2 linked regions of the Cricetulus griseus genome follow. The protein of the gene in region 2 purifies or fractionates together with the protein of the main gene of each other region. This does not show direct contact. Links are inferred from orthologs where the notes say so. Each region holds a gene or a part of one and is shown on either strand. Other genes may lie near its edges. The genes, in order: Cdc37 and Amhr2.

Evidence for each region.
Region 1: the proteins of Amhr2 (region 2) and Cdc37 purify together in Homo sapiens (co-immunoprecipitation; 3 studies listed by BioGRID and IntAct, with this or other methods). This does not show direct contact. The link is inferred for Cricetulus griseus from reciprocal best matches to the Homo sapiens genes AMHR2 and CDC37.

Annotation. Positions count from the first base shown.
Region 1 is NC_048597.1:134,006,996-134,011,304, reverse strand, and holds the start of Cdc37 (hsp90 co-chaperone Cdc37), read left to right. Parts: upstream 1-1,487; 5' UTR 1,488-1,599; coding exon 1,600-1,701; intron 1,702-4,309. UniProt on the Homo sapiens protein: Co-chaperone that binds to numerous kinases and promotes their interaction with the Hsp90 complex, resulting in stabilization and promotion of their activity. Inhibits HSP90AA1 ATPase activity.
Region 2 is NC_048595.1:398,821,425-398,826,028, reverse strand, and holds the start of Amhr2 (anti-Muellerian hormone type-2 receptor), read right to left. Parts: upstream 2,834-4,604; coding exon 2,785-2,833; exon of another isoform or gene 2,492-2,784; coding exon 2,309-2,491; intron 2,092-2,308; coding exon 1,900-2,091; intron 1,653-1,899; coding exon 1,581-1,652; intron 1,379-1,580; coding exon 1,266-1,378; intron 1,152-1,265; coding exon 921-1,151; intron 1-920. UniProt on the Homo sapiens protein: On ligand binding, forms a receptor complex consisting of two type II and two type I transmembrane serine/threonine kinases.

The sequences.
Region 1 (4,309 bases), on a different chromosome or scaffold from region 2:
CATAAAACTGATTATTCAAAAAAATGGCCGGGCGTTGGTGGCGCACCCCTTTAATCCCAGCACTCAGGAAGGCAGAGGCAGGCAGATCTCTGTGAGTTCAAGACCAGCCTGGTCTACAAGAGCTAGTTCCAGGACAGCCTCCAAAGCCACAGAGAAACCCTGTCTCAAAAAACCAAAAAATAAAATAAAACATCTGGAGCTGGAGTTACAGACAGTTATGGACTGCTATGTGGGTGTTGGAAATTGAACCTGTGTCATCTGGAACAGCAGCCAATGCTCTTAACTGCTAAGCCATCTCTTCAGCCCCTGAAATGTAATTTAAAAAAATAAATTTTAAGGGCAGACCCAGTGTAGTGGAGCATGATTTCAATACCAGCATTGGGAGGCAGAAGCAAGGAGATCTGTGAGTTCAAGGCCAGCTCAGTCTACATAGTGAGTTCGAGGACAGCCAGGGCTACATAGTGAGACCCTGTCTTGAAAAAAAAAATTTTTTTTAAGAGTAAAAATCGGGGCTGGAGAGATGGCTCAGAGGTTAAGAACACTAACTACTCTTCCAGAGGTCCTGAGTTCAATTCCCAGCAACCACATGGTGGCTCACAACCATCTGTAATGAGATCTGGTGCTCTCTTCTGCTGTGCAGGCATACAAGCAGGCAGAATGTTGTAAACACAATAAGTAAGTAAATAAATCTTAAGAAAAGTAAAAATCTGTCGGGCACTGGTGGTGCTCGCCTTTAATCCCAGTACTGGTGGGGGCAGAGGCAGGTGGATCTCAACTCATTCCAGGCCAGCCTGGACTACAGAGCTAGTTACAGAACAGCCAGAGCTGTTGCAGCTGTTGAAACCCTGTCTCAACTCCCACCCCACCCCTAAAAAAAACCGCAAAATTTCACTCTTTTCTGTTTGTTTTGTTTTTCAATACAGGGTTTCTCTGTGTAACAGTCCTGGCACTCGATTTATAGACCTGCCTCTGCCTCCTGAGTGTTGGGATATAAGGCGTTTCTTTTTGGTTTTTCGAGACAGAGTTTCTCTGTGGCTTTGGAGCCTGTCCTGGCACTCGCTCTTGTAGACCAGGCTGGCCTCAAACTCACAGAGATCCGCCTGCTTCTGTCTCCCGAGTGCTGGGATTAAAGGCGTGCGCCACCAACGCCCGGCTCAATTTTGATTTTTTTGAGACAGAATCTCACTGCGGAGCCCTGGCTGGCCTGGAACTGTGTCGATCAGGCCTGCCTAGAACTCGCTGAGAGTGGCCTGACTTTGCTTTCCAAGTGCTGGGACTACCGTGGGCCGACAACCCCTAGGCAACTACCTTTTTTGTCCCCAGGGGATGCTCGGTTGGGTTTCGGCGGGAACTCCCAGAAGGCTGAACAACGTGAGCCTGGCCCTTTAAGAATCACCTCCGGTCGTCAGTGCCGCCGAGTCCCGTTGCTAAGGACGTGACGTCACGCGCGGATGCTGGGGCGGGGCCGTCGTGCGCGGCGCCGTGAGCGGAAGCGGAAGGGGCGGGGCTCCGCGAGCGGACTCTCTATCCCTTGTGGGTCCCTGTTCAGCGCCCGGCCGTGTGGAGCGCCGGGAGCCAATCCGGGCCTCCTAGGCGAAGATGGTGGACTACAGCGTTTGGGATCACATCGAGGTGTCGGACGATGAGGACGAGACGCACCCCAACATCGACACGGCCAGCCTCTTCCGCTGGCGGCACCAGGTGGGGCTGTGCGCGCGCATCCCCTTCCCCCCACTCCCGGGACCCCCCGCTCTAGAGTTCTGACCTCTTACCCTGGCCGCCCTGGTTCGGGCGGGTCGGGGGAAACTCAGTTATTGACATCGGGAGCCTCCTATTCCACAATCTGAACTTTCTGTCTCTCTTATTTTTTAAAAAAAATCGAACCAGGATCTCACTATAGCCTTGCCTGGCCTGGAACTTGCTATGTAGACCAGGCTGGCCACTAACTCACAGAGATCCGCCTGCCTCTGCCTTCCCAGTGCTGGGATTAAAGGTGTATACCGTCATGTGGCCTGGACTGTTAAATTCCATCCCAGGACTTCAGGATCACTGGGCTTCCTAACTCTCCACGGTCATCTCTGGGCTTTCCCCGCTGCTATCTCTTTTATTTTATTTGTACATTTGTTTGTTAGTTTACTTGTAGTGGTGTGTCTTGTGTGCTCGTGGCACAGCTTGTATCTGTAGATTAAAGGACAGTTAACAGAAGTCAGGCCTCTCCTTTCACCACGTTGGAACTGGGCATGGAACTTAGGTCACCCCAATTTGCCACAAGCACCTCCTATACACACTGAATCTTCTTATCAACTCCTAATACTTTCATCAGAGTCTAGACTCTCCAAACGCCGGCCCTTGTGAGTAGGGGTCCCCATCATCCTGTATGGAACCTTTTTTTCTCCTCAGAATTCTTTCTCGGAGTCCAGAACTCAGATTCTGTTAGGCTCTCCCTTGTTCTAGCCATGTGCCCACTGCTGATTGAACACCTCCCTTCTGCCTCTTCTCAGCCCCTGGAGTCTGGGTCCACGATACTTTTGATTTGATTGGGGCATCTACTTCCCAGGATCTTAAGCACAAATTTACATTAAGGCCCAGAGATACCCTGCCCCCAACTCCCAAACTGAATGAGAACTGTGTCTTACACTTAATTTCCCGATCTTAGCTTTCCGCTGGGATTCCACAACCCAGGGTCCCTTTCCCTGGAGTACAGACCAGAATCCCACTGGGGACTTCAGTCCCACCTAGGACTTCTCTCCATGTGGCCTCCAGCTCCACTGCTGCCCTGTGGCTTCCCTTACTCTTGCCTCCTGTAGACGCTTTTCCCCTTATTCCAGGAAACCCTACCCACTTAACTTCCGTCCAGAACCTCTGCCTGCTCCTTTATAGTAAGTAGACCCCCATCCTGTCCCTGGCTCCTGTATGAACTTTGGCCATCATTGAATACTCACCAAAATAGGAGCCGGGCAGTGGTGGTACACGCCTTTAATCCCAGCACTAGGGAGGCACAGGCAGGCCTGTGAGTTCCAGGTCAGCCTTGTTTACAGAGAGAATTCCAGGACAGCCAGGACTACACAGAGAAACCCTGACTTGAAAAACAAACAAACAAAAAACAGAAAGAAAGAAACTCACCAAACCTGAGCTCAGAACCCCAAACCTATTCTATCCTTCCCACCCTTTCCCCTGCAGCCTCCTTGGCTTCTCTGCAGTGTTCAAATCATCCTACTTAACTGGGGGAATCTCCTGGATCTTATCCCAACATCACCTTACTTCCTGAGCATGATGCCACATACCTTTAAACTCAGGTCTTGGGAGGTAGAAGTAGGAGGATGAGAAATTCAGTCAATCCTTGCTACATGTTAAATTCTAGGCCAGCTTGAACTACATGAAACACTGTCTCAAAAACCAAATAGGCTGGTGCTCAGTTGTGTGTCATTGCCTTGCACTGTGTCTCCAGCAGTGCTTAAAAGCTAGCCATGGTGGGACAGGCCTGTAGTCCCAGCACTGTGGAGATGGGAACAGGAAAGTCAGAAGTTCAAAGCCTTCAGCCACATAGTAAGCTTGAGGCTGGCATGGACCACATGGGATCCTGTCAACACCCAAGCAAATAAAATAAAATCCTACACATTTTTTTACATCTGTCCAGAACAGAGTCCCCCAGATTCAGACCTTAGAATCCCGTGTGTTTGAGCCATGGTTTTCCACCCCTCTTCTGCCCGGCATTGACCACGGGACAGTAGTGTACTACCAAGATCTAAGGGTGGTCTGGAGATGTGGTTTAGTGATAGAGCTCTTGTGTGGCATGCAGGAGGTCCTGGGCTCCATCCATAGCACAACAGTAAAGAGACAAGGGTCTAACCTGCTCTCCCAAATCACAGCATCTATATCCACCTACCTGTGTGCTATACCCTGTGCTTAAATTGTATTTTATTCATTTGTGTATACACTCCTGTATGTGTAAATGTACATGTGTAGTCCACGGAGGATAACTTGGTGGAATCTGTTTTCTCCTGCCATGTGGGTTCTGGGGATCAAACTCAGGTTTTCAGGCTTGGTGGCAGACCTTTACCCACCGAGCCCTCTCATTGGACCCTGAGTTTGTTATACTCTCAAGCTTAGGGCAGGTACTTTCTGGTTAGGAATTTTGCACCCCATCTTCCTGAGGGCAGCTCCTGCTCATTTATCTGGAAGCTCCTAGAAGGTCCTCCCTGTCTCCCCCAAATTAGTGTCTGTCCTCCACCCAATTCACACACCCATTCCTTCCAGTTTCCTAGGATGACTGCCTGCCAGGCAAGCTGCCAGCACTGAAGACCCCCTT
Region 2 (4,604 bases):
CTGTGTAGTCCTGGCTGTCCTGGAACTCACTCTGTAGACCAGACTGGTCTCAAACTCACAGAGATCCATCTGCCTCTTATACACATAATTTTTTGAAATTTATTATTATAGAAAGGGGGAGTCTTTGGGAGCACATGCTATAGTGCGTGTGTGGGGGTCAGAGAACAACTTTGTGCAGTTCTCTCTTTCTATTTTTGCTTGGGTTCTGGGGACTGAACTCAGATCCCCAAGGCTTGCACAGCAAGCATCATAGCTGAGCCATCTCACCATCCCTCAGGGCAAATCTTTCTGTTTGTTTTTCGAGACAGCGTTTCTCTGTAGCTTTGGAGGCTGTCCTGGAATTCACTCTGTAGACCAGGCTGGTCTCGAACTCACAGAGATCCTTCTGACTCTGCCTCCCGAGTGCTGGGATTAAAGGCATGTGCCGTTACCACCTGGCTTTTTTTTTTTTTTAAGAAGTTTATATTTATTTTTATTGGTGTTTTGCCTGCATGTATGTCTGTGTAAGGGTGTAAGAAATCCTGGAACTGGAGTAACAGACAGGTGTGAGCTGCCACATGGATTCTGGGAATTGAACCCAGGTCCTCTGGAAGAGCAGACAGTGCTCTTAACCACTGAGCCATCTCTCCAGCCTGCCATATTGTTTATAAATATTGGTTAAATAAACACATGAATGAGTTGGACAGCTGTGGTTGGATATTATTTATCCAGTGGCTCATATTTAACAGTGGCTCATTTCTAGCTGGGCAGTGGTGGCACACAGGACAGGCTCCAAAGCAATATAGAGAAACCCTGTCTCGAAAAACAAAACAACAAACAACAAAAAACCCAACAGTGTCCTAAGGAAGGCACGAAGCACCTCACTTCCATGAGCACAAAAATAGGCATAGTGCACATTACCGACATTTCTTGGTGCTCACCTTAGGGTACAGTTCCAGTACCAGTAAAGGCCCAGAGGGCAGGGGGCCAGGACCCCCCTGGCCAGCAGTGATAAAGCGTACAATGTGGTTGTGCTGTAGGCCTGGCAACTGGTACACAGCTCTCTCAGCTCGGAACTGGGCCACAGCCCTTGGGGGGAAGGCCTTGATGGCTACCATCTCACCCTGTAGCCTCCCGGCCCACACGACTGCGTGACCTCCTTCTTGGATTACCTGGTGGAAACACTGCACTGAGTGCGGACCTCTGAGCTAGCATCAGAACCAGGCTTCCTCCCCAGCAGAACCTCCAAGAGTACCAGAGAAACCCACCCTCCTTTTATGAAGCACCTGGGAGAAGCACAGCTCATTCAGCTCTGGCAATTCCTCACTGCAGTCTCCGCCTGAGACTGGCTCCGGGTCTGACCCACCGTTCACTGCACAGGTCTTTCGTTGTAGCAGGGCTGAAGCAGAGAAGAGCCTTAGGGTAGGGTGCACAGGATGGAGGCAGCCAAGGAGGCTATGTGGGAAGAGAGCTTCATACAATGAAATGGGTTACAGAGATCCCAAAACTGGTGGTGGGGGGCGTCTGCAGAGCCTGAAGAAGGCTTGGAGCTTTGGGGAAGAGCCTTGCTATCACAAGGGAGGGGTGGGAGAGATTAGTACCCAAGATGATGCTGCCCAGTAGCAGCACGAGGAACATTCCCAGCAGCAGCAGTGCCATCCAGATGGGCCCACCTGGACAGCAAGGCAAGAAGACACGTGGGTGAGCACTGAACCTCTCCCCTCTTCAAAGAGATTGCTTTCCAAACCACCCCCATGCTGGTCACAAGCCCCCTTATCTCCCAGTCGCCAGGGCAACCAACTTCCCAAGGCCAGGAGGAGGGAAACTTTGGGTGGGAGTGGGCTGAGAACTGGCCCTGGTTCTCATCCTGACCTATGCTCCTACCCTTTCTGAGCTTAGTACCCTAGGGAAGGCAACTACCTGTGGTAGGCTGGGGATCCTGGGGGCCAGGCGCCCCTTGGTTCCCTGAAGGAGGCAGATGGCTGTAATTGGCATTGCAGAAGTCACTGCCACAAGAACATGTGAGGAGAGTGGAGATGGGGCTTGGGTGGGCTCGGGGGACTGGGTCACAGTGGAGGGACTCACAGCCTGGCTCATCACTGTCTCGGCATCCTGGTGGGATGGGATTGGGGGACGGAGGAAAAGGAGAGAGAGTACAATGATGTTGGGAGGCAGAAAGCACATCCCTTCTCTATCAAAGGCATCCCTCCGACATGCTTTTCTCCCATCTACACACTCCGCTTCTCCCTTTCCTCTTGGCTGCCTCCCTCAACTTGGACATGCCTCTCCTCTACCCTAGCTCTCACCCACCATATATTTTGCCATTCACCTTGCATCTCCACACGTGCCCGTCCATGGGTCAGGTTCCAGATGCCAAAGCAGCAATGGCTGTAGAGGCAGCGGATACTCTTAGGGGGTCCTGGTCTTTCATCTAGCACTTCCCCCAGTGTCTTTGCGCTTCCTCGTACTCCAGGAGCCTCAAAGAACACACAGGTCCTACTGTTTGGGGTTACTGAAATCAAAGGTGAAGAAAGGGGAGTCAAGAAGGGAGTAAAGTCAGGGGACAAACAGCAGCCAAAAGGATAAACAAAATAGGAGCCCAGGGTCAGGATGGCAGAGGCACAAGGAAACAGTCAGCAGAGGCCTGAGGCCTGATCCCCCATGGGAACAAGTGGCTCTGCCCTTCATCTTTACTCACCCAGCCCACTGACCTCTTCCTCTTCCAAAGGGGTAGCTGCTGCTTCAAGTATACCTTTCCCCTTATTGGATTGTGTTAAGACCCTGCCTGTATCTGTAGACACTTACCTTGTGCAACTGCAGGAAGCAATGTCCAAAGCCCCAGTGTCCCCAGCATCCTGCTAAAGGATGGCAGCTGGACAGCACAAACCAGCACAGCTACTCCATCCAAGGATTCCTACTGATACAGGGCACTGTAGGGCTTCCAAACTCCGCCCCCCTCTGTCCTATCCCAGTTTCTGTGGGGGAGAAGGCAGCTGTGGGGGAGAAAACAGGGAGAGAAAGGGAGGAGCAGAGAACCAATCTCATATCCTTTCTTCAACCACCTCCTCTTTTCTCTGTAGAGTGGGAGGAAGGGACCTTGGCTGCCTGGCTGAGAACCCTGTGATAACTTCAAAATCTCTACTCATCACTGACCTTGGGAGAAGGTGCTGGACCTTCAGCCTTTCCCAGGAAGATGTCAAATGTTTGGAGCCACTCAGTTCTGCCCAAGACCCTTCCTAACCCACTATTGAGAGACTGGATACGTAGCATTCTGAATAGAAGAAGACTCACAGTCCATATTACAGTAGTTCTCACTTTCCAAACTCGAATCAGAATGAATATGAAAATTTTCAGATCTAAAAAAAAAAAAAAATAGGCAGGAGGCAGAGGCTTTCACAGAGAAACCCTGTCTCAAAAATCAAAACAACAACAAAATCACACTGTAGGACTGGTGAGATGGTGCAATGGGTCAAAAGTACTAGACACTCTTTTATATATATATATATATTTTTTTTTTTCCTGAAAACAAACTTGTTTATACAGACAAGTCATGAGGGCCATCCCGGGAAGCTCCCGCAGTAGTCGAGGATCAATGTACTCTGGGGCTGGATCTGCCCAGGACAAATGCAACTACGGCCCAGGTGGTGATGATGCTGCAGACTTTTAACAGGCAGGTGATGTTGGAGGAATGTTTCCAGTAGCAGTATAGGGAGACCTGCAGGGTTGGGTGGCTCCTGTACTCCTTCAAGACACTACAGGCATCCTTAAACTTATTGGTCAGGAGCAGAAACTGGTTTGGGGTGAACCGCCTGACATCCAACCTGCAAAGATATTGGAACTCACAGTAGACCTGATGCTCGGTGACCCCAGGCCCTCTTGACGGTGAGGATGAGTGCAGGAGGCCAGATACTGGGGTAATCTGGGCCAGAAAGATTAATTTTAGGAACCCCAGCTCTGATAAGATTCACTTGGTTCACATAGTGCTCCAGCACATCCAGGTATGTGAGGTGAGCTCGTCCACAGAACCATCACCATGCACCCTCTCCAGGAGCAAGTGTGCTACTTTCAAGAGAACTGACCCGCAGAGGAAGGCATTGTATCCGGCTTCATGGGGGCACTTGGTCTCAGCATATTTCTCACACTCGCTTGCATGGATAATCTCTGGTCCAGAATTGTTAGTGGCATTCAAGTCACTGCTCAGCACATCATACACTTACTTCTGAGAGGTTGGAGGCTTGTAGGAAATGCATTTCCTTCCAGATGTCTTCTGTCACATTCTTGGTGTCGATGATGACAGGAAATAGGCTGTGGATGTTCTGCTTAAACTCATCGTAGCTTTCTGGAAGAGGTTTGAAGAACTTCTCAAGGAGATGCAGTAGGTCCATCATCATATTGTGTCCTACCAGAGACTTCTGGGCTCTCACCAACATCTTGATAAAGCCCGAAAAGCCCCTTGCAGAGAGCAGAATCTCCTCCCTCCAACACCTGATTTGATCACAAGAGTCATTCTCAAGGTACCAGCGATGAGGCTGACTGACCTTCTTCACAACCACCCCTTCATTTTTCCGCACTGTTCAGATGTCGGGGAGGGCCTGCCTCAGGACCATTTGGACTTCATAGGCTTG